Callithrix jacchus: one gene and its partners. The protein of the gene in region 1 binds, or shares a complex with, the protein of each later gene. Links are inferred from orthologs where the notes say so. Each region holds a gene or a part of one and is shown in the gene's direction. Other genes may lie near its edges.

Region 1 (5,835 bases):
GGTGCCAGGGCACACTGGCCCTTGATTATCAGGGCCATGTCAGCCCATTCCACAGGCATGTAGTACCCTCGAGGCTCCAAATCACGTTCTGAAAACAGCACCTGGAGAGTCTAGGATAGAACCACCAAAGAAGGGTTGAGCCAACGAACAGGAAAATAACTGAAGGCATATCCAGAGAAATACATTTATGAAAATACCAAAATTGAAGAAAATACATCATACAGTGCATTAAAGCTTTGTACCTGTTATATAGGTAGTCAAAAGATGACAGATAAAGGGTGGATTTTTGGTTTTGGCTAATTCATTTTGTACTTGTTATACAGGTAACCAAAAGATGACAGATAAAGGGTGGATTTTTGGTTTTGGTTAATTTATTCAGTTAATTCATTGGTTAATTCATTTCATGCAGGAATGGAGGAATGATCATGCAGTAGTGCAGTTGTACCTTTGGAGGAATTTCAGGTATTGTGTTACAGTTCCACTGTTTTAGAAATCAAGAATATGGTAGAAAGTGGAGATGGTGGGGGCTGGGCGCAGTGGCTCATGCCTGTAATCCTAGCACTTTGGGAGGCTGAGGCAGGTGAATCATGAGGTCAGGAGATGAGATCATCCTGCCTAACACAGTGAAACACCGTCTCTACTAAAAATACATAAAATTAGCTGGTTATGGTGGCGTGTGCCTGTAGTCCCAGCTACTAGGGAGGCTGAGGCATGAGAATCCCTTGAACCGGGGAGGCGTAGGTTGCAGTGAACTGAGATGGCGCCACTGCACTCCAGCCTGGGTGACACAGCGAGGCTCTGTCTCAAAAAAAAAAAGCGGCAATGGTGGAGAGGATGTATAAATACCTTAAACTCCCCCTTCTTGGTCTCCAAACGCCTTTCTCACTCCATTCAGCCTTAGGCCAAATTCTGGATGCTTTTGCAGGTGGTCTTCATGTGTAAAATGTGCATATCTATCTCCTAGGAGTATTGTGGAGATGGAATGAGATATGTAAAGTGTGCCGTATATAGCAACTGCATCATTAGAGCATCTTTCAGCAGAAGTGCACATCCCCTCTTAGCTGATGACTGGCATTTCCTGTTCATTTTTTTCCTTCTACCTCTTAACCTTACTGACGATGCTTTCAATACAAATCTAATAATAACGGCAACTAACATTTATCATGTGCTCAAATTAAGTCATTTCATCTCACCAACAATCCTATCAGGTAGGACTGTCATCTTCATCTGCTGAGCCTTGGAATCACATTAGACAGCCTGGCTTCAGAGCCCAGCTTTTTTTTTTGGTTTGGTTTAGATTTGAAAGGAATGCATTCTGTCGCCCAGGCTGACAGCTCACTGCAGTCTTGACCTGCTGGGCTCAAGCAGTTCTCCCACCGCAGCCTCCTGGTAGCTGAAACTATAGGCACGCCATCATACCTGGCTAATTAAAAAAAAAAAAAAAAATTATTTCTTTTTTTGGTAGAGATGGGTCTCCCTATGTTCTCCAGGCTGAACTTGGAACTCCTGGCCTCAAGTGATCCTCCCGCCTCTGGCTTCCAAAGTGCTGGCACTACAGGCCTGAGCCACCGCGCCCCACCCTGAGCCCAGCTCTTAAGCACGGATTCCACCATTGTTTATTTAGCTGGAGAGACCCAAGCTACTTCTCGGGCCATACCCTTCTCATCGCAAACTCAGGTTTCTGTTAGAAACCACCCTTAGTGGCCGCAGTGCCCAGGACTCCCGTCTTGGTTCCTGGGGCCCACGCGAAGGTCATTTAATTCACCCAGATGGAACCAGCCCAAGCGTGTCCCTCTGAACCCCGTGAACTTTCATCCCGGCTGAGCAGCGAGTCTGCACTGCTGTCCCTTCCTTTGTGGAGTCAGGGCTGGCGCAAAGCGACACTTTCCTAAGTAGCAATACGGGTATTCTCAAAAAAGGCACAAGACCCCAAGAATTCCTGCAGACGAGCACGTTAACTGGACAGCTGAGCCCGCCCCAGAGCCCCGGCGCTAGCGCGAGGGGCTGGGACACCGCGAGGCGCAGACAGCCGCGGCCCGGCGCAGGAGGAACGGGCAGAGGGGGCGCCACCGCGAGACGCGGGCGCGTCACAGGCCGCACCGGCCAGGACGCGGAGGGCGGGGCAAGAGCGCAGCAGGAAGGGGGCGTGGTCAGGAGCCCGCCCGGCCTCTCCCCCGCCCCTCCCCCTCTGCTCTCCGCCCAGCCCGGCGGCTCCGCCCCCTTGGTGACGTCACTGACCAGGCCAGCCGGCGCCATTTTGAAAGTGGAGTCGCCTGCCCCTGCCGCTGCCGCCGCCGCCGTCGCTGTCGTAGCCGCCGCCGCCGCTGCCGGAGAAAGAGCACGAGCGGGGAAGCCCTAGAGTGAAATCTAGCATCCTGCCGGCTGCTCTGCCCGCCCCTCCTTCCTTTTCCCCCAGCCCCTGTCCCCTCCCCCCGCAGGTGCCATCCGCCGCCATCCGCCCTCTCTACCCCCCCATCCCCAGGTGAGGGGGGTGAGTTCAGGAAGCGGAGACCCCGAGGAACCCCGCAGGGTCACCATTTGCAGCGCAACATGGCAGGTAAAGGAGAAATTCCCCTTGCCCCCTGACAAGGCACCGTTTCCTTCTTCCTCCCTCCATCACCCCCTAGCGACCGCCCGCGCCTTGCGCGGAGCCACGGGGCGCCCCTCGGGTTTGAGGGAGTGGGGTCCAGGGGGGTGGGGTGGAGGCGGGGAGGACTCCGGGGAGGCGAGTGGTCGCGGCGAGAGCCACTGGGCTTGGAGAACGGAGCTGGCGCCGTGGCGGGGGTGGGGGTGGGGTGTGCCGGCGAGCTTGGGGTGAGGCGTGGGTGGGGCGGGGTGGGGGCGCGTGCAGATTTGTCTCTCCCGCTCGGGAGCCGGGTGGATCCTCTCCTACCTCGCCCCCCGTCTTTATTTTCATTTTATCCTGCAGGTCTTCATTTAATTTCTATTTCCCCCCCTGCTGCAAACCTTCTTGGGTGTATATACACATTATTTTGCACTGAGAAAGAAGAGCGCCTTACAAGTTAAAATGCAGTGGGGCCATATGTGTCTTTTTTTTCCCCCACTGTGGATGCCAATATTTTTGAGATTGGAAGCCTAAATTTTTTGTTTCAAACCATTTCCTTTCCGTTTCTTTCCCTCTTACCACCGAAGAGTGCAAGGCCTTTCATGTACAGCAAGTTGCATGAAAAACATAATTTCAACTTTCCGTTTAACATGTTAGCTTTTTTGCAGATGTCCTTTTCCCAAAAGGGTTTGGTAGAGTTAGTTAAAATAGTTGCGGAGTTCAGAGATATAAATAGCAAAGAGGAGAGAGATTTAGGTAGAAGCTTTGGAGGGGGGGGGAAAGGATGTAGAGAGAAAACCAGTTTGGAAATAAATTTAGCAAGGAATAGGGGTGACAGGGGAGAGAGAAGTAATGTAATTGCTTTGAGAATTCTTTTTGTACATGTTGGTGTTGCTAAGTCTTTTCCTTCATGTAGTAGAATGGGTTCCAGATTTAGATTCAGTGTCTTTCTCCCTAGAGTCTCAGGACGTTTTCACCATTTCGTTCTCAGTACTTGCACGTGAAATAGAAACATTCCGAGATTAGACCAGTTTACCGTGCTGTATTCATTACTTAGAGAATTAAACCATTTGAAAAAGTTAACGTGTCGGATTGACTTACGGTTTGCTATAAAACAAGTTGCTTGTTGGCCGTGTTTAATGATGAAATGAGATTAAAATTGTTTTGCACGAGATGACATACTAGCGAAATGAATTATTTGCCAGGTCCTTCGGAGTGGAGGGCTGAGGTGAAGGGAGGCAGAACAGGCTTCCTTTGACAGTCTCTTTAGCAGCATTCATTTTGGTTTCTTTTCCTCTCTGTCTGGAGCCAGTGATTTGCTGGTAATGAATGCAAAGAAATGGGTGTAGTGTTTGCTGTGTGTGCACTTTGGTGATAGGGTTCATATGAATCATTACTCCTCACCCAGGCAGTAATGTTCCCGAAGTTTTCTCTCCGTTCTATGTTTCATGGTAGTTTAACCTTATTAACTCTTCTGCAGGTTTTTTGTACACTTAAAAAGAAAACTCTTTAACTCTTGGTATTTACACTTTTCTGGTAGGTCTTGCCTGAGTGTAAGCCTTTTAAGATATTTGAGAGGAAGGGAAGTTTGTGAACAGATGTATGATGACCACAGAACATACGCCTTTAAAGATTTCATACCTGGAACCTTTTTTTCTTTTTAATACAGTACTAACTATTGGGGACTAACCTTTTTCCAAAGTGGTGCTTTTGGTGGTGGTTGTATGTGTGGGCAAAACTAAGCTGTTAGTGTCATGATCATGCCAACCGTGGATTGTTTACGAGAGTCAACATGAGCAGAACTCAGTTTTAATTGGTATGTTTTCTTTCCAGGAGCTGGAGGAGGGAATGATATTCAGTGGTGTTTTTCTCAGGTGAAAGGAGCAGTAGATGATGATGTAGCAGAAGGTAAGAAAGCATTTAATAATGCAAAATTTGGATATATAATTTTTTCAGAAATCTTTCCTGAGGGATTTCCTTGAAGCCAAGACTATTAAAAATTCAAGATGATTTTGTGTTTATTGTCCAAGAAATGTAAGAACAGTTTTAAAAGTTACGTTTCTGAAATACAGCCTTAAGTTTCTTTTGTAATTTATGCCTTGTTTTTATTTTTTACTCTGAATTTACGTGAAAGGAGCGATAGATGATTAGACATATAGAATCGTCACATGAAAGCTCTGAGCTCCATATAAGGGTTTCTTTGTTATATAAATTCCACATAGAAATAAATGGTGATGCATTTTTGTGTTTGTACATTGTTTTTAGATAAGTAAATTGAAATAGGTGCCATCAACATTTGGCTCAGAAACATTCTTAGCAGCATCTCTAATTTTTATGGGAAGATTCTTAACCTCTCTTGACTTTGCCTGCTGTGGAATGTAGTGCTGATTGGCATAGTCTGTGAAGAGATGACAGCTCACATTATTCATTTTGTTGTCTTTCTGGTAATTAGGTGGATAAGACAGTAACTGCTATGCATATATCGCTTGTCTTCTAGAAAGCTTCTATTGCTGGTGCAGGTAGAAACTGTGTTTGATCAATTGAAGTACTTATGTCTAATTTTCTCCCCAAATTTGTTGACTGATGTGTTTCAGAAGTTTTATCTGAGTTTTGAAACTTCAAGGTTGTGCATTTATTTGAGATGGTCTTAGGCAGCAGAGGCATTTCCCATAAACTAGTTGCATTATTTCATTGCTCAGAAGTGTTAAAATTTGAGCTTTAATAGTATTCTGTGTCTTGAATTACAGTAGGAATTTTTCAAACAAAACTCAGATAAATTTAAACATGTACTTTTTGAGTTTTAAAAATTTGGTGAAAATGCACAAACTTTTTTCCCCTAGATTGTGTTGTCCTCATATTTCTGACCTGTCTGTAGAGTACTGTTTGTTTTGGAGATTTTTTTTCAGGTGGTGGGTGGTAGGAGATGGCTTTGCGTTTAGCCAGCCAAATGCGTTTATTTGCTTGTGTCAGTGTCATTCATAATGAAGTATCTGTTTTAGAGTGTGGTGAATCCTATGGGAAGCCAACTAGCATAAGCTATATTTGTCATATTTTGCAGAGCTCTCATGTTCTTTTCCTGTTGGATCCTCATCTGTTTCTTAGACAAGAAACCAGTAACAAAAGAGACTGACTGATGGTCATACAAATAGTATAAATCAAGGTTTTCTGGTGAAGTCAGTGGTGTTTGACTTGTTTAGAGAAATAAGTCCCAACTTCAGGGGAGGAGTTGTGTATTACTCATGTTGTAACTCCATTACCTGTTGAATAGT
Region 2 (5,859 bases), on another chromosome or scaffold:
AATTACAGGCATGAGCCACTGCGCCCTTTATTTTATTTATTTTTGAGACAGAGTCTCACTCTGTTGCCCAGCTGGAGTCTAGTGGCGCGATCTTGGCTCACTGCAACTTCTGCCTCCTGGGTTCAAGCCATTCCCCTGCCTCAGCCTCTCCAGTAGCTAGAATTATAGTCGCCACACCCAGCTAATTTTTGTACTTTTTTTTTTTTTTTAGTAGAGATGGGGTTTCACCGTATTGGCCAGGTTGGTCTTAAACTCCTGACCTGAAGTGATTTGCCCACCTCAGCCTTCCAAAGTGCTAGGATTACAGGCGTGAGCCACTAGGCACAGCTGATTATCTTTATTTTTTAATTAAAAAAAAAGGCAGCACAGTGAAGTGAAATAATTTTCCAGAGGTCATGCAGCAAGTGAAAGGCAAATCTGGGATTCCAACCCAGGAAGACTGCCTCCACAGTCTGTGTTCTTAACCATTGCTTCATAGCAATGGTTAAGACCAATAACTTGCAAAGAAGAGAAAAGAGAAGAGAAAAATTCTTGCATTTTTACTCAATATATGCTACTTGGTTTTGTAATTATTTGTGACATTATTTTATCTCTTTCTCTATGTAAGCTGAAAATTCCTAGAGGGAAGGAGCTCTGGGGTCTCAGAGCTGCTACCTCAATTACCATCAATTGTGGGCACATCGCATCCCCTGGAGATTATGAATTGGTCATGATCAAGCCCACTCTTCACTGGTATTTTTCCTAAATAAATTCATTGCTTGGTCAACCCCTGGGGCAGGATCAGGCCCGGGGTTCCACATGGACTCCAAGAAAGCAGTGCTTAGTTTTCTCATTCAGATTGTGGCTGAGAGTTGTCATTTATCTTCTGTATAATAAAGCAGATGTGTATGTGACTTCCCCCTTTCCGCAGTGGAGACACTGAAGCGGCCTCAGGTTCTCAGGCAGGTCTGTGGTGGAGTTTGCTGGAACTAACTGGAACTGACTCTATGTTTCCAGTCCAGAACTCTGAGCAACCCTGTGGCAATTCTGCCCTAATACACTTATAAGGACCAGTAGATGGACTAAGGTGTTGACAGACCACAAAATTCTGGAACTCCCTTGCCCTGTATTTTTACCTTGACACAAAATGAAATTATGACATCATCATGGGAACACAGGACTTCTCTCTTTGTATTTTCAGAACTTGCTCGATTTTTCCAAGGGTACACTGGTCAGTCCTTGTAATGGAAAAAAAAAAAAATCATTGTGGAGAACCTGTAACACCTTCCACCTAACCTGTTTGATAACTAGCTTTGCTCTACAATCTGGAGAACAAAGTGAAAGATGCCAGCTTTAGACGACAACCAATAACTTTGTATCTAGACACAATTCCTTGATAAGCCAAAAAAGTAGCCAAAAACTTCTAGAATTCCCCTTTTCTTTAGGGTTAGAACTGACAGCTGCTAAGAGTGTATGTGACTCTATTAGGGAAAGCGGCTCGTCCAAAAATAATAACTGCCAAATACCGTGCAGTAATGCTATTTGTTATCCAGAAGTGTCCTACGCCGCGTATAGCCACCATCTCTATTTTAGAGTTGAGGGGGATGGCTCACAGGTGTGGCTGGCCTGGAAACCGTGGCGTGGCTGGTGAGGGCGGGGTCGATCACGGAAGGATCAGGACTTCATGGCAGAGCAGAGTCCACCACCACACTCGGATGAAAGTTCAAAGATTTTGTTCGCTTTGTTTCTGGCAAGCCATCACACAATCCTGAGTCTGTAACTCTAAACAGTAGCGCCCACGAGCACAGCCCCCGACCCGCACTCCCCCCGGCCCTGGTTGGCGGCCGCACACCCACACCGTAGCCCCCTTTAAGAGCCTGCTCCGCGGGACTAACGTTCGAACGGGCCCTGGCGCCCCTCCTCGGGCTCCGATTGGTCGTGCGCGGCGCACGAGGGCGCGCCGGCCAGCCTCAGAACGGCTGGCATCCCTTCGTGATTGGCGGTCGCGGAGCCTATATAAGGCACGGGACGGCCGGGCTGCCTTGTTTAGCGACCGGACCCGGAGCTGGGCGCTTGTCTGGTGTGGAGCGGCCAGCGGGACAGCGCGCGCGTCACCGCAGTCGTTTCTCTTCGGAGTCTTAGGCGATCGAGGGTGTACCCAGGGGCGGACTTGTTTGTGTTTCCCGTCCCCTCCCGGCTTCCGAACGTGACACCCCGTCACCCCGGCGCCGGCGGCCGTGTGCAGGGGACGCAGGATGGAGTTCAAGCTGGAGGCTCACCGCATCGTCAGCATCTCCCTGGGCAAGATCTACAACTCGCGGGTCCAGCGCGGCGGCATCAAGCTGCATAAGAACCTCCTGGTCTCGCTGGTGCTGCGCAGCGCCCGCCAAGTCTACCTGAGCGATCCGTGCCCCGGCCTCTACCTGGCGGGTCCCGCGGGGATCCCGGCGCCGCCGCCGCAGCAGCTCGGGGAGCCGGCAGCCGGGCCACCCGCCGGCTGGGGAGAGCCGCCCCCGCCTGCCGCCGGTGCCTCCTGGGCGGATACGGAGCCACAGCCGGAGGGCTCCGCGGTCTCAGAGGCGCCGCGGGTGGGGGACGCGGTGCCGGAGGCCACGGTGACCGGAGTCGGGGTCGTTCCTCAGGGCGGAGCCGCGGACGCGGCGAAAGCTGCCTGGAGCCGAGTGGAGGGGCCTCGCCAGGCGGCGGCCGGAGAAGCCGAGGGTCCCGCCGGAGGCTGGGGTGTTTTCCCCTTGGGGTCTCGTGCCTCTCGCCGCCCCTGCGGCTGCCCCCTAGGCGGGGAGGACTCGTCGGGTACACCGGCCGCGACCCCCCGCGCTGCCTGCTGCTGTGCGCCGCGACCCGCCGAGGACGAGCCTCCCGCGCCGCCAGCCGTGTGCCCCAGGAAGCGCGGCGCGGCGGGGGTGGGCGGCGGCCCAACGAGCTTCCCGGCGCCCGGCTCGACCCCGCTCAAGAAGCCCCGCCGGAACCTGGAGCAGCCGCCGAGCGGGGGAGAGGACGACGACACGGAGGAGATGGATACCGGGAACGTGGCTAACCTCATCAGCATCTTTGGTTCCAGCTTCTCGGGACTCTTACGGAAAAGCCCCGGGGGCGGCCGGGAGGAAGAGGAGGGAGAGAAGAGCGGTCCGGAAGCCGCCGAGCCCGGGCAGATCTGCTGCGATAAGCCGGTGCTGAGAGACATGAACCCCTGGAGCACAGCCATCGTGGCCTTCTGAGCCCCTGCCTCCGTGCGGGGAGGAGGTTGAGCAGCGGGCGTCCCCGAAGTGAGGGCCGGGACCCTCCCGGCTGCAGGGACGCCCAGAGACCGCAGGCGCTGAGCGCGTTGGGCAGACTGGTCGCCGCCGGGCATCGCAAACCGCCCCCGGGCGCGGGGGCCCTGCCGGCCCGGGACTCTCGAGGCTTTTCTGGAGACCAGGGAGCTTGAGGCTCATTGGAAGAGGACGATTGTTAACTTTTGTGTTTGTGTATGTCAGTGTGTGTAAGTTTGTCTTGTGGCATTAAGACTATTTTGTCCTTCTGGAATGCACCACTCCTTCCCCGGGGCTTACGAGACTGGGGGCAGACAGGGACTTTCCTCTGCCTACAGCGTGGAGAAGGAAGCGGCTAAAAGGTTTGGGCCGGGGAGTTCCCCATTCGTTCTCCGGAGAGCGAGGGACTTTACACCCACCCCTCACCGGAAAGCTAGACCCGCTTCAGGGCCAGGAGTGGCGTTTCCGCACAGGATTTCCTAAGACGAGAGGGATTTTAGCCACGAGCACCGACTTGAATTCCTTCCCTCCCTCCCCACTTTTCTTTCCCAATGAAGAAACGCTTATGTCCTGTGATTACTCTAGGAAAGGGGAGTATTAACGGCCCTTCGCTTCCCCGCAGGGGTGAAAAAGCTTGATGAACTTCACAGAAGAGTTCAAGCTTGGAAATACGGAGTTTATAGAGAAAAGATATATTTTTAAAAGCTCTAGGTCAGAACTACTACACAGTGCTTTTAAAAAGTGTTTAATGAAAGTTTACAGACAGAAGCCCTAAGTGAAAAGACCTTATGGTTTTGTAGATAAGGTGACTCCAGTCTTTGTTGTATAAAGGTTGGGGGAGCTGATAAGGTTTTTGTACAGTATTTTCTCCTTCGTTGTATTGATTTTTGTATAAAAATGTAACTTCTACGTGTCTAACACGTATTAAATATTTTGAAGCAACGTAACTGCCTCCTTGTCTGTAATAACCTGCCTGGGTTGGGAGGGAAGTGGGAGGAGGGAAACCAGGGCCTGTGCTAGAAAATTGAAGGTGTGGTTCTTGGTATCAGTCACTCGCAGACTGAGGACATTGTTTACTGACTCCACCAAGTATCAAGAGAGACACGTTTAGTTTTTTCTTCTAGATCAGAGGGCCGCTATTAGATAGTAATATCACCGACCTGCCAGGGTCTTGAAACCTGCCATTACAACTGCCTTTTGTAAGGTCAGTTTAGGCCAATTTGACTGTCACCAATACATGGGTGTCCATTTTATTAAGTAATTTAAGCAACTTTTGAAGCCCTGCTCATCCACAAAAATGTTTTTCAGCTTAGTTTCCTGTTATATGGATCATCTTTTCGCTTTATTATTGAAAAAAATTTAGATAGTAGTAGACCTTAAAAGCCTGATGCAACCGACATAGGAAGCTGAAAGAGACTGACTTGTCCAAATTGTCAGGTCCCCCTCTGCATCTCAAAGGGTGTCAGGATGTAAATGTTCAGTTTTTCTCATCTATAGAAAGGAAATGTATAGGTGAAAGGGAAACTGCATCAAACGAGATAAGGAAGGAGGGCATTCTCATTTAGCAAAACTTCCTGATTTGTTTTTGTTACTCAAAAGGTGACATCAGTGTTTGTGTCATGGTAGAAACTTAGGTGATGACAGCCAAAACATTCATTGATTTTACTAAAATCACTGTCATTAAGAGAGCTTTCTGTCTCTTCATCTTCAGTGTTTGAAAGGTATTCAATTTATTTCAGAAGCAAACCGATTAGGGAATGTTTATTAAAATACGGTACAGTTGCCAGGACTTCTTATGGTACTGGTTTCTAACAATTTATGAGTAGGGTGTTTAAAAGATGGGAGAGATTGAAGAAAGAGACAAAGCTTTAAAGGTCATAGCCTTCGAGCATAAGAAACATGAATGGTGCATTGGCCTTAACTGTGAATTATATGAACTTCTGTCATAGCTGAATAGGCCAGTGCCTGGTGCCTTGATATTTCGGCAACTCTATTAGCAGTCACTTAAGCCTAGGGACCTTTCTACTTCATGCTCTGTCACCAGCATAATGTGTTTATAGAACTAACATTCTCAAAGTAGGATCTTGTTAAATCGACTTTTTCTTTCAGAAAGTAGCTACTTAAATGCTGTTATGGCTATGAAAGATCCATCAAGTGCTGACTGCTTAAACTGAAGAAGGTGTCCAGCGCCTTAATTCTGCAAACATTTCCTGTTGCTACAAAGTATGATGCTTGAACAGCAATTTCAGTGTATTTTATGTTTGAAAGGGGGTAACGTGGTGTGTTTAAGAGAGCTGATGTGTTTTGGATGAGACTCAAGTTGATCCTTGGTTTCACATTAAGATGAACCTGAGACCATGTGTCTGCTTAAAGATATAAATTGGCATACTTGATAGGAAGATAAAGCTTTGTAGGAATTAGAAAAGATCATTCTCTTTTTTGTTGTTGCGGAATTGTTGCAGAAGCAGTATTGTGTGGTAGAGCATGGGCCCTGGAGCCAGGCTACCTGAAGTCTTCCTTTATTTTATTATAAAAAGTAAATACAAAGTGAGCTGTGTTGGCTAGGTTCATCTTGAACTCCTAGCCTCAAGCAGTCCTCCTGCCTCAGCCT
Region 3 (5,845 bases), on another chromosome or scaffold:
TCTAAAAACAGAAGCCTCCTCTTATGTGCATAGACAACTCTGTGATTATCTCCATCCTTATCCCTGTTCAACAATGAAGATGTGATGGACATAATTGCTGTTTTCACATACTTTATGGACTATCAAGCAGATATGTTCAGTATGTTTCCAGAAGTCAAAATCAGTATAAACTGAAAGAAATTGTAGTGGGGCACATTGTAACTCAGTCCAAATACAGTGGCTGCTTCTTAACTCATTACTTTGTTATTCAGTTACACAGATACCTATAGAGTTCCTACTATACTTGATAAAGTTGACTAGGATAATATACCTGACTGGGCATAGTGGCTCAAGCCTATAATCCTAGCACTTGGGGAGGCCAAGGCAAGGATTGAGCCCAAGAGTTGAAGGGCAACATACCAGGCCGCCATCTGTACAAAAAAATTTTTAAAAGCAAAACAATTATCTGGGTTTGGTGACATGCACCTATAGTCCCAGCTACTCAGGAGGCTGAGGTGGGAAAATCACTTGAGCCCTGGAGGCTACAGTGAGCTGTGATTGCACCACTGCACTCTGACCTGGGTGACAGAGTGGAACCCTGTCTCAAAAAACAAAAAGATTCACTTCTTCATGGACTTATATTTCTTCCTTTTGCAAATTTATTTCCCATAAGGATGTTCAGAAGAGATTGCTGCATGGAGTCAAAGATTGACTTGACTTCTAAGACAGTGATTCTGAAATCATGAATCAGAATCACCTGGGGAGCTTGTTGAATGCAGATACCTGTCCCACAGACCTTGTGAATAACAAATCATCAGCTAGCAGGTCTAGGACTCTATGACATGCTCCCTATAATTGTTATATACGTGGATTTCAAGAACCACTTCTCTGCAACCTTGTTACTCAGAGTATGGTTCATGGACCAGCAACATCAGGATCACCTGGGAGCTTGTGAGAATTCCAAAATCTCAGGCCCTACACCAGCCCTACTAATTTTGAATCTGCAGGTTAACAAGATCTTTAAATAATTAGTAAGTGCATTAAAGGTTGAAAAGCAGCTAGGCGAGGTGTCTTACACTTGTAATCCTAGCACTTTGGGAGGCCAAGAGGGAAGGATTGCTTGAGTGCAGGCGTTGAAGACTAACCTGGGCAACATGACGAAACCCCGTCTTTGCTAAAAATACAAAAAATTAGTCAGACATGGTGGCTCACGCCTATAATCCCAGCACTTTGGGTCCCAGCACTTTGGGAGGCCAAGGCAAGTGGATCGCCCTAGGTTGGGAGTTCGAGACCAGCCTGACCAATATGGTGAAACCCCATCTCTACTAAAACTACAAAAAAAATAGCCAGGCATGGTGGCATGCACCTGTAGTCCCAACTAGGGAGGCTAAGGCAAGAGAATCGCTTGAATCCAGGAGGCAGAAATTGCAGTGAGCCAAGATTGTGCCCTGCACTCCAGCCTAGGCAACAACAACAAAAAAGCTTCTGCTGCTTCTAGTCTGGGTACTACGCATTGAGAACTACTGTTCTACAGTAAATTCAAATTTTTTTTTTTTTTTTTTGAGACAGGGTCTCATTCTGTTGCCCAGGCTGAAGTACAGTGGCATGATCACTGCTCACTGCAGCCTCCACCTCCCCAGGCTCAGGTAATGCTCCCACCTTAACCTCTTGAGTAGCTGGGACTACAGGCACAAGCCACCACACCTGGCTGATTTTTGTATTTTTTATAGAGACTGGGTTTGCCCTGTTGCCCAGGCTGGTGTCAAACTCCTGGGCTCAAGTGATCAAACCATCTTGGCCTCTCAAAGTGCTGGTATTATAGGCCACCACACCTGGCCTTAAATCTGATTTTTTAAACTATCTGAAAAGATTAGTTCTAGCCATCCCTTATTAGGTTGTTCTAACTTTAAAAAAGAATCATTATCCCATTGTTAAGATTTGGATAGAGGATAGAGCGCAGGAAAAAACAATTAACTTGGTTGTTTGCTGCCATTTTCCCTCTCCTTCTTTTATTCACACACTTTCTGTTTCTGTACAGAGTTTGAAAGATATCAACAACATGATAAGGCAAGGTGAGCAGAGAACCAAGAAGCGAGCAATAGCCATCGATAGTGATGCAGAATCCCCTGCCAAACGTGCCTGTCAAGAAAATGATGATGTTTTACTGAAACGACTACAGAATGTTGTCAGTGAGAGAGCAAGTCATTAATGTTGTTGTTTCTGTGATAAAAGCACTTTCAGATCATTCTGCAGAAAGTTGGAGCTCTGTCCTTCAAACCTTTTTGGCCCTATAGATGGTAAATATCACTGGGTTATAAGAAAAAATTGCACAAAAATTATGTGCTTTTAATACCCAAAATGTGGTTGACAGAGATGTATTTTAAGTTGGATTGGAAAGGAATATTTTAAGTGCCTTTTAAAAATATTAATAGTCAAGGAATTTTTTTTTTAATGTGTGCTCCTTGGGTTAGTTTTCAAGATGAAATAAGGAGAAACCCTGTAACTTTTTAGCTCTCTTTTAAAAATAAATGTCTCCTTCTTCTGAGCTTTGTAATATGAGGATAAATAATCTACTTTTGGTAAGCATGCTTTCAGATATTTGTATTCTCAATTTAATTGAAGGAGAGGGTTGGTTCCCAGAGTACCTGAGCCAGAGGGTGATGTACCAGCCTGTCTCTGGCCCACTGTGGTAATTACACATCCAGGTGCCACCACCATTCAGGGTTGTCTCACCCCTTCTCATGCCTTTTCTCTCCTTGAGCAAAAGCAGATTTGCACCTGAGCCCCAGTGCTACCCTTATCCTTGCTTTTAAGCCCTAAGCCATATTAGCCTGATGTTACAAACCAAAAAATGGGCTACTTTTTCTTTTGTAAACTATCATTTTGGTTTCTGTGGCATTAACTTAATCATGCATGATCGCGTTAACTCATGTAGTTCTCAAAATTGGCAGCTGCTTCTCAACCCAGTAGAATAAAATTCAGTTAGTTATTAAAAGCTAAATTTCCTGTTAGTAAGGTAACATCTTGATGATGTATGGTATACTATTTTTCACATCGTACTATCAGTCATGTCTAATTGAGTCCCTAAGAATATTTGAAAACGTTTAAAAAACCACATAAATATCATCTCATGCCTCATAATTCTAATATATTGAATACATCAGTAAAACAGCTGATTATTACTTCCCCCAACTTTGTTCTCAGTATTATTAGTGCATCATGAGTTTCCTGCTAGTGTTTGACCACTGGGTACTCCCGAAGATGTTTTCCAGTACTAGGGATGCAGCTTTCCAAAATATCACCTCTTTAACATTTACTTTTTCTAATATGTGTCCAGAATCCAGAGGGTATGGATAAGCCATTCATAGTTTATTTTGAGAACTTTTATCAAATCTTTATGTTTCTAACTGCAAACCTTAATTTTTGAAAGGCACAATGTTTAACTCACCTGTTTTTAACCAGGCTAATTTAAAATAGTCTAAGATTTGGCTGTCACTAATTAGTATTCTCAAGAATTTTATTTTTCTATTTTTAAGAAGAAAAGGGATTTTGGTCACATTTTGCTTGTAAATGAAAATTACATCCTCATTCTTTGTGTAGTATCTACACATTGTTATAAGCCAAATAACAAAATCTGTCTTGAATCCTTGTACATATTTGTATGTCGCCATAACTGTTGTATCATTTTTATCTTCATTATTATGCAAAATGTAAATGAGCATTTGTACATTGACTGTATAAGAAACCCTGGGCTGGGTGCTGTGGCTCATGCCTATAATCCCAATACTTGGGAGACCAAGGGAGGAGGATTGCTTCAGTCCAGGAGTTCAAGACCAACTTGGGCAACATAGTGAGCCCTCATCTGTACAGAAAAATTTAAAAATTAGTTGGGCATGGTGGCATGTGCCTGTAGTCCCAGCTACTCAGGAGATTGACAGGAGAGGATCACTTGAGGCCAGGAGATTGAGGCTGTAGTGAGCTGTGATTACACCACTACACTCCATCCTAGGTGAGAGGGTGAGACCCTGTCTCAGAAAAGAAAAAAAAAAGAAATTCTGGACATGTTTTACCATTTTCAGGACTTGCTATCAATGTACATAAAATGGCTAATAAAAATTGGAATTGAGATTATTGAAAAAAACTATTTTTTATATGACTAGAACCAATTATACAGCCATCTAAAATCTGTCTTTTTAAATACCTACTTATGTCTTTAAGTTTTCTTAGTCTAACTTAATGGTTCCTGTGATTTCCAGGGTCTAGGGGGAAAACAAAAAATAACTGCGTAATGAATATAGAGTTTTTTGGGGGGGAGTGATAAAACTGTTTTGGAACTTGATATAGGTGGTATAGTTGCATAACATTGTGAATTTACTAAATGCCACTGTATTGTACACTTTAAAATGGTTAATTTTGTGTTATGTAAATTTCACCTTAGTTTTTTTTTAAGTCTTAGATATTATATTAGTCTGTTTTCACACTGCTGATGAAGACACATCCAAGACTGGAAAGAAAAAGAGATTTAATGGACTTACAGTTCCACGTGGCTGGAAGGCCTCACAATCATGGTGAAAGGCAAGGACGAGCAAGTCATATCTTACATGGATAGGGGCAGGCAAAGGGAGAGCTTATGCAGGGAAACTCCCATTTTTAAAAGAAACAGATCTTGTGAAACACATTCATTCTGGTCACCAGAACCGCCCAGGAAAGACCCGCCCCCACAATTCAATCACCTCCCACTGGGTTCCTCCAACGACACAGGAATTGTGAGAGTTACAATTCAAAATGAGATTTGGGTGAAGACACAGCCAAACCATATCATTCTACCCCTGGCTCCTCCTCCCAAATCTCATGTCGTCACATTTCAAAACCAATCATGCCTTCCTAACAGTCCCCCAAAGTCTTAACTCATTTCAGCATTAACCTAAAAGTCCACAGTTCAACATCTCATCTGAATCTGAGGCAGTCAGTTCTATCTATGAGCCTGTAAAATCAAAAGACAAGTAAGATACTTCCTAGCTACAATGGGGGCACAACCACTGGGTAAATATAGCCATTTCAAATAAGAAAAACTGGCCAAAACAAAGGGGCTACAGGCCCCATGCAAGTAAGTCTCAAATCCAGCAGGGCAGTGAAATCTTAAAGCTCCAAAATGATCTCTTTTGACTCCATGTTTCACATCCAGGTCATGCTGATGCAAGAGGTGGGTTCCCATGGTCTTGGACAGCTCCACCTCTGTGGTTTTGCAGGGTACGACCTCCCTCCTGGCTGTTTTCACAGACTGGCATTGAGTGTCTGCAACTTTTCCAGGCACATGGTACAAGTTGTCAGTGGATCTACCATTCTGGGGTCTGAAGGACAGTGGCCCCCTTCTCACTGCTCCACTAGGTGGTGCCCCAGTAGGGACTCCATGGTGCCTCCAACCCTACATTTCTTTTTCACACTGCCCTAGCAGAGGTTCTCTATGAGAGCCCTGCCCCTACAACAAACTTTTGCCTGGACATTAGGCGTTTTCTTACATCCTCTGAAATCTAGGCAGAGGTTCCCAAACCTCAATTCTTGACTTTTGTGCACTCACAGGATCAACACTACATGGAAGCTGCCAAGGCTTGAGGCTTGCACACTCTGAAGCCATGACCCTTTCAGTCACAGCAGGAGTGGCTGGGATGTAGAGTACTAAGTCCCTAGGCTGCAACCAGCACTGGGACGCTGGACCCAGCCCAAACCACTTTTTCCTCTTAGGTCTCCAGGCCTGTGATGGAAGGGGCTGCGATGAAGATCTCTGACATGCCCTGGAGACATTTTCCCCATTGTCTTGGTGATTAATATTCAGCTTCTCGTTGGTTATGCAAATTTCTGCAGCCAG
Region 4 (6,012 bases), on another chromosome or scaffold:
AGCACTTGAGGCCAGGAGTTTGAGACCAACCTGGCCAACACAGCAAAACTCCATCTCTACAATTATTATTATTGTTATTTTTTGAAACAGAGTTTCACTCTTGTCACCCAGGCTGGAGTGCAATGAAAGGATCTTGGCTCACTGCAACCTCCACCTAGTAGGTTCAAGCAATTCTCCTGCCTCAGTCTCCCAAGTAGCTGGTATTACAAGTGCCCACCACTACACCCAGCCATTTTTTGTATTTTTAGTAAAGACGAGGTTTCACCATGTTGGCCAGGCTGGTCTTGAACTCCTGACCTCAAGTGATCCTCCTGCCTTAGCCTCCCAAAGTGCTGGGTTTACAGGCATGAGTGACCACACCTGGCCTACAATTATTAAAAACGCAAAAATTAATTAGGCATGGTGGCAAATGCCTGTGTTCCCAGCTACTTGGGAAGCTGAGGCAGGAGAATCGCTTGAATCTGGGAGGTGGAGGATGCAGTGAGCTGAGACCATGCCACTGCACCCTAGCTTGGGTGGCAGAGTAACACTTTGTCTCAAAAAACAAAAACAAAGACTATGAAGGTGGAAGTTATTTCCTGGAGGCCGTGTAAACCTAGAAGAGAAGAGGATCCAAGGACGGAACTGTTAGAATCCTCCCATTAAGAGGCAGGTTAAGATTCAACAAGGAGATTAAGCAGGAAAGGCCAGAGAAGTAGGAGGAAATCCATGAGACCAGAGTATCCTAGAGGCCAAGAGAAGGGACTTTTAAGAAACAGGGTGTCGGAGACCAGAGTGCCGTTTAACACATTAAGGTTCATAATGATGCAGAGCGGTGTTAGTTGGGAAAGAATGGCTTTCCAGACAGGTCCTCAAAGTGGAGTGTTGCCCATGGTAAATTCTCCATTTGACCAAAGTCTGCACCCCAGAAATTCAAACTTGCCCCCCTGCGAGTGTCACAATCAGAAACAGATTCTTTTCTTCCAAGGTCGCATAGCCAATTTAAAAAAAAAAAAAAAAGGCTGAGCGTGCTGGCTTACACCTGTAATCCCAGCATTTTGGGAGGCCAAGGTGGGTGGATCACTTGAGGCCAGGAGTTCAAAATCAGCCTGGCCAACATGGCGAAACCCCGTCTCTACTAAAAATACAAAAAATTATCCGGGTGTGGTGGTGGGTGTCTGTAATCCCAGCTACTTGGGAGGCTGAAACAGGAGAATTGCTTGAACCCAGGAGGCGGAGGTTGCAATGAGCCGAGATTGCACTACTGCACTCCAGCCTGGGTGACAGAGTGAGACTCTGTCTCAAAAAGAAAAAGAAAATAAAAGAAAGTTTTTTGTTGTTGTTGTTGTTGTTGTTTGTTTTTAATTGAGACGGAGTTTCACTCTTGTTACCCAGGCTGGAGTGCAATGGTGCGATCTTGCCTCACCGCAACCTCCGCCTCCTGGGCTCAGGCAATTCTCCTGCCTCAGCCTCCTGAGTAGCTGGGATTACAGGCACACGCCACCATGCCCAGCTAATTTTTTGTATTTTTAGTAGAGACAGGGTTTCACCATGTTGACCAGGATGGTCTCGATCTCTTGAACTCGTGATCCGCCTCGGCCTCCCAAAGTGCTGGGATTACAGGCGTGAGCCACCGCGCCCGGCCCAGAAATTTTTTTTTTTTTTTTAATTGCAGGACTTGGCAATTCAATTGGGCTAGCAGTTTCGGTAAAGTGGTGGGAGTGGACCCCCTGGGAGTGGACAAATGAATCTGTATTCCTTCGTTAGATATCTAGGAAGTGCTGGACCCTCAGAGTAAAATGTAAGTAATTACAGACGAGATCCCTGCCCTGGTGCGGCTTATCTGAGCAGGAGAGGTAACCTAAAGTCACAACAATTGTCTGATACAGTTCGTGTTGTTGAGGAACTGTTCAGGGCTGTGACGGCCTTTAAGAGGTGGCTCTGACCTAGTGCAGAGGCTTAGGAAGGAAAGGTTCTGAGGCGGAGACGCGGGTCCGAAGATGTGAAGGCGTGGCAGAATGGAGGAAGGAGCTTTGATGGGCCCAAAAGACAGCCTGTGTGGCTACGGTGCAGAGAGCAAAGAGAACCGAAAACCAGGCAAGGCTGGGGAAGTAGAAACAGTAAAGCTCCTAGAACCAGGGGGCCAGAGTGGACAGGAAAGGGCGGGGAGAGGCGGCTCCACTTAGAAACTACAATTCCCAGGAAGCATTCGGAAGCCACAGACGGATGTGAGGTGAAGCGGGAGCCGCGACCTTTGAAGGAAAAAAGGAAGTGCTTGGACGACAGCGAGCGGGAGAAGCGGGGTCAAGTAGGTAGGGGCGCGGCGCGAGACGGGCAGGCGGGCTTCGGCGAGCGGAGGCCTCGACGGGCAGAGCGCCCCACAGCTTCGTGTCATCATAAAACTGCCGCCATTTGCGCGGGCAGAGGCGGCCCGGCGGGCGTTGGGAGAGCTGGGCCGGGCGACAGGCGGGCCCAAGGCGGCGGCGGCCCGGCGGCCTCGGCCACCCGCTAATTCCATCTTTTCCCGGCGTCTCGTCTGCAGAGGGAGCAGTATGTCTGCGGAAGTCCCCGAGGCAGCCTCCGCGGAGGAGCAGAAGGTGAGTGCGCGGGACGCGGGCCCTGCCCAGGGTCGGGTCTGGCGGGCGGCCTGTTCGCGCCGGGCGGAGGGGCGCGCCCGGGATGCGGGGCCGAGGCACCTGCGCCTCACTGTTGGCTTCCCGCCGTCACTGGCTGGTGATGAGCGCCGACTAATTGGGAATTCCAACGTGCCCCGCGTTTTCTCCGAGTCGTGCTTTTTCCAGCGCCTCCGTGGGTCGGGTGTTCAGCAGTCACTTAGATTTACGCGAGAGCCCAGGACACAGCCCTTGGGCGGAGAGCCGAAGTTTTTCAGCGAGCTTCAGTTTGCTTAGGAAGTTTTATTTTTTTTTCCTTTGAAGAACTCTCCAACTACTTGTAAGCTTGCGGTTCACTCCAAAGGCAGTGCCTCGTGAGCGGGTCACGACGTGGGCCGGGATTGGCATTTCAGGGCCAACCGGTGTAACCACCGTGTCTTCACCTGTAAAGGCCGAATACTAGCGCTTGCTTCCCCTGGCGGCGGTGAGGCCTGGAGGAGGTCAGGCACGTGTCAGTGTTAAGCGCAGTCAGAGTCCAAAAAGGTTTCCGTCAATGGGACTCACCTACGGTACTTGACTAAAAATCGAAACGGTGGAATTTAAAAAATCGCGCCATTGCACTCCAGCTTGGGTAACAAGAGCGAAACTCCATCTCAAAAAAAAAAAAATTTTTTTTTCTACTCACGAAATTAATCAGGGTTTTATTGGCAACATGAGAATATTTTCTAGACGCATTTCTGTCTTGATGTAGGGGAATAGGCCAAGAGTGTCAGACTGGTTCAAATTACGAACATAAAGGATTTATCTTCATCTAGGCTAGCGTTTGTCTCTCCCATTATAATTATTTCCGCCGCCCTGCCCTCTTGGGTTGGTGTGACTGGCCGAGAAGTGAGAAAGGGCCTAGGTATCTTGTTTCCTAATAAACAATTTTTCTTACAAGTCAGGTTGTGTTGTCGTAAAGTACGATTTTGGTCTAATGTTTGATCTTCGTGCGGGTTTCTGCTTAATGTTTCACTTGTCCTCATTAGGTTGGGAATTGGGTTAGTTTTTTAAGCCCATTCCATGTTGTTAAAACCGTGTTAACTTGAGTTGTGTGGTTCTGTTAGGATGTTAAGGTAATTGAAGGGAAAAAACAAGAAAACAATAATAGCATAGATAATAGCCTAAGTTACCACATTATTTGAGAATATCCAGTGAAAATAGATATTTTTACACATTGCCAAAAAAAAAAAAATTGGGGGAACAATGCAAATATTAAGGATTGCAGTGTTAACAGTAGTATTAAGCATCAGCTGCTTATTGTAAAATGTTTGTGTTCATTATTGCTTGAAATTTAGCAACCCTCAAAAATAACAAGTCCCTATCCTGTGGTGTTTTGCCTTAAACACTGACATCAAACTTAGCATTAACTTAAGGTGCACAATAGTGTGCTATGTAATTTCCTTTGATAAGTTCTGTTAGTATGTTGCCAGAGGATGCAGTGTTGATTTCTAGAGTGTAAAACTTTGACTTGGAAAAGCCTAATGTATCTTTTAACAATATTAAGGGTAGCTCAAACGTTTTTCTTACTGTCTACATTAAACATTTAAGGTGTTTTGGCTTTAGCTGCTGTCATTAAAACCAACCAAAGTGTGTTAGGAATATCATGTTCCTTCTTAAATTGAGGATTGGCTGTAAATGCTAAGTGTCTGTGGCATGGATAGTGTCCCTAACTGTGAAGAAAATGTGCAAAGTCACTTCTATGTGCTGTTGGCCAAATCACCTTCTCTTTGGAAGATCGGTTTGATGACCTAAAAAATTGAGTTATTGTCTGTATACCCAATTGACCTTCCACTTAAAGCCAAACTATTCAGCTAAAAATACCTTTATAGTTTACTGGTTGCCTGTTGCCTCTGAAGAATTAAAGTAGATAGCTGGGCCCTCATGGAGTGAAAGCTAAGTCACTTTCTCTATATTGAGTAGCGTGTGCACCCTTGGTAAGAGGAGAAAACCAGATTCCTATTTTGTATTAGGATGCAATTAAATATGTACAAACATAAAAAATAAGTATAATTACTTGTAAACCACTCTAAAACTAAAACAGCCAGGCATGGTGACTCTTGCCTATAATTCTGGCACTTTGGAAGGCTGAGGCAAGAGGATCGCTTGTGGCTAGGAGTTTGAGACCATCCTGCTCAACATGGCAAGGTTTTGTCTCTACAGAAAATAAAAATTAGCCAGCTGTGGTGACATGCTTGTAGCCCTGTAGTCTTAGCTACTAGGGAGGCTGAGGTGGAAGGATCACTTGAGACCAGGAGTTTGAGACTACAGTGAGCTACTTTAAAAATATTTTTAAAAATTTAATAAAAGGCCGGGTGCTGTGCCTCATACCTGTAATCTCAATACTTTGGGAGGTCAGGGCAGGTGGATTACTTGAGGCCAGAAGTTGGAGACCAGCCTGGCCAACATGGTGAAACCCTGTCTGTACTAAAAGTAAAAAATTAGCCAGGTGTGGTGGCCCGCACCTGTAATCCCAGCTACTTGGCTGGCCGTGGCACAAGAATTGCTTGAACCCAGGAGGCAGAGGTTGCAGTGAGCTGAGATCATACCACTGTACTCCAGCCTGGGCAACAGAACAAGATTCTGTGTCAGATAATAAATACCAGGTGCAGTGCCTCACGCCTGTAATCCCAGCACTTTGGGAGGCCGAGGCGAGTGGATCACAAGGTCAAGAGATCGAGACCATCCTGGTCAACATGGTGAAACCCCGTCTCTACTAAAAATACAAAAAAAATTAGCTGGGCATGGTGGCACGTGCCTATAATCCCAGCTCCTCAGGAGGCTAAGGCAGGAGAATTGCCTGAGCCCAGGAGGCGGAGGTTGCGGTGAGCCGAGATCGCGCCATTGCTCTTCATCCTGGGTAGCAAGCGAAACTCCGCCTCAAAAATAAATAAATTTTAAAAAATAAATAAAATAAAAGTTGTCCGGTGTGGCCCTGTGGCTCATGCCTGTAATCCCAACACTTTGAGAGACTGAGGTAGACAGATCACTTGAGGTTAGGAGTTCGAGACCAGCCTGGCCAATATGGTGAAACCCCATCTCTACTGAAAGATACAAAAATTATCCATGCATGGTGGCGCGCACCTGTAGTCCCAGCTACTCAGGAGGCTGAGGCAGGAGAATCGCTTGAACCCAGAAGGTGGAGGTTGCAGTGAGCCAAGATCACTCCACTGCACTCCAGCCTGGGCAACAGAGTGAGACTCCATTTTAAATAAAATAAAATTTAAACTAAAATAGATTAAATACAAACAAAGCCAGTCTAAATTTTTGATTGTGTGCTTGGTATTTTGCTGAAACTAAATTTCCAATATATTGGCAATATGGCAGCAACTGTTAAAAGTTAAGGTAGTTTTTTAGTTTGTTAACATTCCCCTAGGCTATG
Region 5 (4,663 bases), on another chromosome or scaffold:
CTGGTTCCCGCCTGCCACCTGGCTGGGAAGCCCTGCTTCCCGCTTCCTGCAAAGTTCTATACCGCACCCATTTCGCCCACTTCTTCGGATTTCAGGAGACTGTTCCATTTTCGGGGAAGCCCTCCCTGATTAGGCCAAGCCCCACTCCCCACCATACGGCGCCACATCATCACGGGCCTCTCTTTCAGGGCTTGTATTTGTTTTAGAAGTATGTACTCCAGAATACAATCTTATTGACGTGCGTCACCGTGAGCTTGCGCTCAATATCTATTTACTGAAGGAATATACGAACTAGCGGCCTGACTATTCCTAGCCCCTCCCCTACAACTGCCGCGCAGATATTACGCATTAAGCAGGCGCCGCGACAACGGAGAGCGCGGGCGCCTGCGCGAAAGGATACGCATGCGCAGAGGGGAGAGCCCGCTGACAGATTCTCGGTGGCGGCGGCGGTGGCTCTGGACTGCGGGGAATGGGAATCTTAGGTCCCTGACTGAGCACCTCCCCCGCCTCCCTGCCCCCGACATGGCTCAGGAGAAGATGGAGCTAGACCTGGAGCTGCCTCCGGGTACGGGCGGGAGCCCGGCGGAGAGCGGCGGCGGCGGCAGCGGCGGCGGCGGCGGCGGGGGCCTCAGGAGGTCTAACAGCGCCCCCCTCATCCACGGCCTCAGTGACACTTCGCCGGTGTTCCAGGCCGAGGCGCCGAGCGCCAGGCGGAACAGCACAACGTTCTCGAGCCGCCACGGCCTGCTGCTACCGGCCTCCCCTGTCCGCATGCACAGCAGCCGCTTGCACCAGATCAAACAAGAAGAGGGCATGGACTTAATCAACCGAGAGACGGTCCACGAGCGGGAGGTGCAGACCGCAATGCAGATAAGCCACTCCTGGGAGGAAAGTTTCAGCCTGAGTGACAACGACGTGGAGAAATCCGCCTCCCCCAAGCGCATCGATTTCATTCCTGTGTCACCAGCACCGTCACCCACTCGGGGAATTGGGAAGCAGTGTTTTTCGCCATCCTTGCAAAGTTTTGTAAGTAGCAACGGATTGCCTCCAAGCCCTATTCCCAGCCCAACGACCCGATTTACCACCCGGAGAAGCCAGAGCCCTATCAATTGCATTAGACCAAGTGTTCTTGGACCATTGAAAAGAAAATGTGAAATGGAAACTGAATATCAGCCAAAGAGATTTTTCCAGGGCATCACCAACATGCTTTCTTCTGACGTTGCACAGCTGTCAGATCCTGGTGTGTGTGTATCTTCGGATACCCTTGATGGAAACAGCAGCAGTGCCGGATCTTCTTGTAACTCACCAGCGAAAGTCAGCACTACCACCGACTCTCCTGTGTCACCTGCCCAAGTGGCTTCTCCATTTATTCCACTAGATGAACTTTCGTCTAAGTGATTCATCTTGAGACTCTTTTTGCAGTGGAGAGAGAGAATAATCAAGTTGGAGCAAGCACTGAACTTTGTCGATTAATTTGAGGCTATTTCCTGTTTGACCCCTTTTCTTTTTTGATATTTCCTGAAATGATGTTATTCTAGAGAACTTCTATGTCAGGTTCCTGCGGATACCCTTGAATTCAGTGTAGTAATATTTTCAGACGTTTCCCCAATAAGTGTGTTAAAGCATACATCTTTACGCTGCTAATATGTCTAAATACATATGTTATCCCTTGATTTTTTTAAATAATTGAGAGCTCTATTTATTTATGGGATTATTAAGTTCTGATGAAAATATAAATGTTGACTTAATCAGCATAGTAAACTGATGTTAACAATTTCATACTTCATGCCCACACTAATTTTTAATGCTATTTTCAGTGGTTGCTGTTTTCCATTTGATGAAGAACAATAACTTGACTATACAGCTTTTAAATACTTTAGTTATAACATATCAATCTAGTGGTTGTCTGTTTTACCCAGGATTTCTTGGATATTTCGTTTTCTGGGTACAGAAGTGGACGGGAGGATAAATGATTAAAGAACAAATTATAAAAGTTTGCAACACATCCTTTCAAATTAACTGTATAAAAGTAAACATTTAAGAAAAACATTTTTTATGAAATTTTAATAGTAATTCTAGTCAGTCATACAAATACACTATAGAGAAAGTAAAAATTTTCCTTTTTTCTTTTTTTAACCAGAGAGTGCATTTGCTTGGGTGTAATCCTAAAGTGAGATGGGACAGTGCCTTGCAGTCTTTGCCCACTATACATAGGCTGAGGCTCTTTGTACTACTGAAAGTTAAAAGTTTTTGAAATGTAGAAAATGTGTGGAAAGGCTCGTTGAACTTCGGCGCACCCAGGTAAACAATACTCTCTCAATTGTTGATATACTTTAAAATATTCAGTTGTGCCTCAGTTCCAAAAATGATTGCCAACCAGGAGCCAATGCAATTTTTGGCTGCTTTTCTGCTCTACCCATCTGTCACTTTACTGGTTTTCCCTTGTTCAGGAAGAAAGCAGCTGTTTCCTTGCCAACAGGTCCTTCTTCTCCATATCCCACCAAACCAGGGCATCATTGATTAGACAAAGATACAGTGTAACTTGGATTTCTGACAGCAACAACAGGACTGAATTGTTTAACCTCTGTGGTTAAAGCTGCAGCTTGGTTGTCTGCCTTGGGGATGTCGGTTAATTAAGGGATGATGATTTGCAAGGGAAAATCAGTGGAGAGTCACATAGGTAAATCTTATTAACTTAGGTTTTGCTAAAGGTAGAATAGTCAAATGTTCTTTTCTTTGCCTTTACAATTAAGACAAAATAATAAGAATAGCAAATTTTTTTATATTATGCTTCCTTATACCTCATATATCTTCCTTAACTAGATAGTTTTACAGAAAGAATACAAAGAGTAAAGGGGAAAAATAACTCAGAACAACAACAAAAACAACAAAAAAGCTCTGATTTTTAAAGTTACTGCTTACGGAGACTAACAATTTTGTGGAATTTCTACAACTATGAGAATAAATGGAACTGGTCAACTCTTGACAGTTGCCTCAAGATGGAGTGAAATTACATTGAGGGTAAGACTGTCTACAGGCTTAAAATTTTCTCTGGGTGATAGTGTTCATGTGCTCCCATTCTCAACCTTGTTCTTTAAATTTAAACTTAAATATTCTGAGTTCTTGTTGAGTACCTTGCCTTGCTTCCAGAGGTATTTGAACTTCATTGTCTTCAACGCAGAAATGGTTAATTTTCTCACTTCACCTGTTCTTGCATTATCACAATTGATGTCATCACTAATATCCTAAGCTAGAAACCATGGAAGCCTCTTTGACTTTTCCTTTTCTCTGTTGGATTAGCTTAATCACCAAGTCCTGTCAACTTCTGAAATGAATTTCTTGCCTTCTCTTATCTGTTGCCCCTGATTTTGCTTAAGTTTCAGCCTGTCTTCTGTCTCCTTTTGGTTCAGTCTTCATACTACCTCTTGTGTAATCTTTCTAAAATTTAAACTTGATGTTTTTTCACTCTCTTGCTTGAAAACCGTTTTAAGGAATGGTTTCTTTAGCCTCAGATAGAAGTCCTTTATGATCTGGCTGTGTTCTGAAATAGCTCCAATCCTCTCCTCATCTCTGTCCCAGTATACATCTTCTTTCCTTCTTACGCTGCAAACGCTAGACCACTTGATATTCTTCAAGTATGTCATGTACTTTAATGTCGGTGCTCTGGGATAGATTGTTCCTTCTCCCTAAAATGCCATTCCTATCCTTTTCAGGCAGGCAAATTGCACGTGATTTTAAGTATGAAGGCAATGTATACCTACTGATTATAAAATATTTAAACAGTGTACATATCTGTGTTTTTTTTTAAGTTTGCTTTTAACTGTAAAATTCATCTTCCCTGTCCACAGGTAACTTCGGTTAGCAATTTGGTATGTAATGTACAAGGTGTGTTACTGGCATTTTCGTGTATATAAATGTAGGAAAACAACATGTCATTGACACCTCTCTTCTTTTCTTTCCGCCATATCTAATCATTCCTCAAGTCTTATTGATTTTATCAGCTAGAATCTATCTCCTTGCTTCTACCTCTGTTGCCACCCTGATCCAGGCTACCAGCATTAGGTCTCTTAGGTTTCTGAAGCAACTTCCTAACTCCCACCTGTGCCCATCACACTCGGCTATCCATCCGCTCTCCATATAGCGAGTAGAGCCATCCTTTTAAAATTGCAGAGCTGATCCATCTCCCAGCCGAAAGCTTTTCATTTTTTTCCTGTTGTTCTCATGAGTATGCCAAAATGTATGTATTCTGGGCTAGGAGGCCCTGGGGAATTTGGTCCTTCCCTCTTCCTCCCCTTGTTTTCTGTGCTTTACCCTCCCTGTCTTGCTTTTCTTTTCCTTAAATATATCATGTTCTCACCTATTTTAGATCCCTTTCCTTGAAGATATGGAAACATTTATTTCTGTAAGCTTATTCTATATAGTTGGTAAGTTTTTAAATCAGATGAGGTTCTAAGGGTATATGGACAATTTACATGATCATAGTATTGTTAATAACTTCATTCTGTAGAATGTAAGGGCTTAGCTCATGTGAGAATTATCCTTCAAAAAGCATTTTTAAGGTATTAGTATTGCTAATCTATAAACTTTGTGCAAGAAGTCCTAAAGCCAATAGCAACATTTATTTAAAGTACAGTTCGTCACATATAATAAACCTCTGTTATGT

What was found.
Region 2: the proteins of PPP2R2A (region 1) and IER5 are in contact, whole or in part, in a cryo-EM structure (PDB 8UO5), measured with the Homo sapiens proteins. The link is inferred for Callithrix jacchus from reciprocal best matches to the Homo sapiens genes PPP2R2A and IER5. Residues at the interface, in NP_002708.1 of Homo sapiens: Glu91, Ile92, Glu93, Glu94, Asp116, Tyr178, His179, Asp197, Leu198, Met222, Leu225, Thr226, Glu227, Val228, Thr230, Ser247, Phe280, Phe281, Glu283, Ile284, Ser287, Cys334, Tyr337, Glu338, Asn339, Asp340, Phe343, Lys345; in NP_057629.2 of Homo sapiens: Ala7, Arg9, Ile10, Ile13, Ser14, Lys17, Arg25, Gly26, Lys29, Leu30, His31, Lys32, Leu34, Leu35, Val36, Leu38, Val39, Leu40, Arg41.
Region 3: the proteins of PPP2R2A (region 1) and RBL1 are in contact, whole or in part, in a cryo-EM structure (PDB 9C6B), measured with the Homo sapiens proteins. The link is inferred for Callithrix jacchus from reciprocal best matches to the Homo sapiens genes PPP2R2A and RBL1. Residues at the interface, in NP_002708.1 of Homo sapiens: Lys88, Tyr178, His179, Asp197, Leu198, Met222, Glu223, Glu224, Leu225, Thr226, Glu227, Val228, Ser247, Arg278, Ser279, Phe280, Phe281, Ser282, Glu283, Ile284, Ser287, Tyr337, Phe343; in NP_002886.2 of Homo sapiens: Ser615, Pro616, Leu617, Met618, His619, Pro620, Arg621, Val622, Val625, Arg626, Ser629, Leu632.
Region 4: the proteins of PPP2R2A (region 1) and ARPP19 are in contact, whole or in part, in a cryo-EM structure (PDB 8TTB), measured with the Homo sapiens proteins. The link is inferred for Callithrix jacchus from reciprocal best matches to the Homo sapiens genes PPP2R2A and ARPP19. Residues at the interface, in NP_002708.1 of Homo sapiens: Lys18, Gly19, Ala20, Asp23, Asp24, Asp29, Ile31, Thr45, Asp47, Gly49, Arg51, Val53, Phe55, Val73, Thr76, Gln78, Glu81, Pro82, Glu83, Phe84, Leu87, Lys88, Ser89, Glu91, Glu93, Tyr178, His179, Asp197, Leu198, Asn221; in NP_001293124.1 of Homo sapiens: Lys42, Pro43, Gly44, Ser46, Phe48, Leu49, Arg50, Arg52, Leu53, Lys55, Lys58, Tyr59, Phe60, Asp61, Lys75, Pro93, Asp97, Leu98, Pro99, Pro103, Leu105, Val106, Ala107, Ser108, Lys109, Leu110, Ala111.
Region 5: the proteins of PPP2R2A (region 1) and PABIR1 are in contact, whole or in part, in a cryo-EM structure (PDB 8SO0), measured with the Homo sapiens proteins. The link is inferred for Callithrix jacchus from reciprocal best matches to the Homo sapiens genes PPP2R2A and PABIR1. Residues at the interface, in NP_002708.1 of Homo sapiens: Phe84, Leu87, Lys88, Ser89, Leu90, Tyr178, His179, Asp197, Met222, Glu223, Leu225, Thr226, Glu227, Val228, Tyr337, Asp340, Phe343; in NP_612206.5 of Homo sapiens: His81, Ser82, Ser83, Arg84, Leu85, Ile88, Lys89, Glu92, Arg99, Glu100, His103.

The regions. Positions count from the first base shown.
Region 1 is NC_133514.1:15,258,098-15,263,932, reverse strand, and holds the start of PPP2R2A (serine/threonine-protein phosphatase 2A 55 kDa regulatory subunit B alpha isoform), read left to right. Parts: upstream 1-2,239; 5' UTR 2,240-2,550; coding exon 2,551-2,557; intron 2,558-4,399; coding exon 4,400-4,474; intron 4,475-5,835. UniProt on the Homo sapiens protein: Substrate-recognition subunit of protein phosphatase 2A (PP2A) that plays a key role in cell cycle by controlling mitosis entry and exit. Involved in chromosome clustering during late mitosis by mediating dephosphorylation of MKI67.
Region 2 is NC_133519.1:39,363,104-39,368,962, forward strand, and holds IER5 (immediate early response gene 5 protein), read left to right. Parts: upstream 1-2,023; 5' UTR 2,024-2,234; coding exon 2,235-3,215; 3' UTR 3,216-4,190; downstream 4,191-5,859. UniProt on the Homo sapiens protein: Plays a role as a transcription factor. Mediates positive transcriptional regulation of several chaperone genes during the heat shock response in a HSF1-dependent manner. Mediates negative transcriptional regulation of CDC25B expression.
Region 3 is NC_133506.1:2,312,509-2,318,353, forward strand, and holds the end of RBL1 (retinoblastoma-like protein 1), read left to right. Parts: intron 1-2,017; coding exon 2,018-2,188; 3' UTR 2,189-4,120; downstream 4,121-5,845. UniProt on the Homo sapiens protein: Key regulator of entry into cell division. Directly involved in heterochromatin formation by maintaining overall chromatin structure and, in particular, that of constitutive heterochromatin by stabilizing histone methylation.
Region 4 is NC_133509.1:40,253,154-40,259,165, reverse strand, and holds the start of ARPP19 (cAMP-regulated phosphoprotein 19), read left to right. Parts: upstream 1-2,235; 5' UTR 2,236-2,287; exon of another isoform or gene 2,288-2,291; intron 2,292-2,521; 5' UTR 2,522-2,531; coding exon 2,532-2,576; intron 2,577-6,012. UniProt on the Homo sapiens protein: Protein phosphatase inhibitor that specifically inhibits protein phosphatase 2A (PP2A) during mitosis. Inhibition of PP2A is enhanced when ARPP19 is phosphorylated.
Region 5 is NC_133502.1:96,166,226-96,170,888, reverse strand, and holds part of PABIR1 (PPP2R1A-PPP2R2A-interacting phosphatase regulator 1), read left to right. Parts: 5' UTR 1-402; coding exon 403-1,398; 3' UTR 1,399-4,663. UniProt on the Homo sapiens protein: Acts as an inhibitor of serine/threonine-protein phosphatase 2A (PP2A) activity. Inhibits PP2A activity by blocking the substrate binding site on PPP2R2A and the active site of PPP2CA.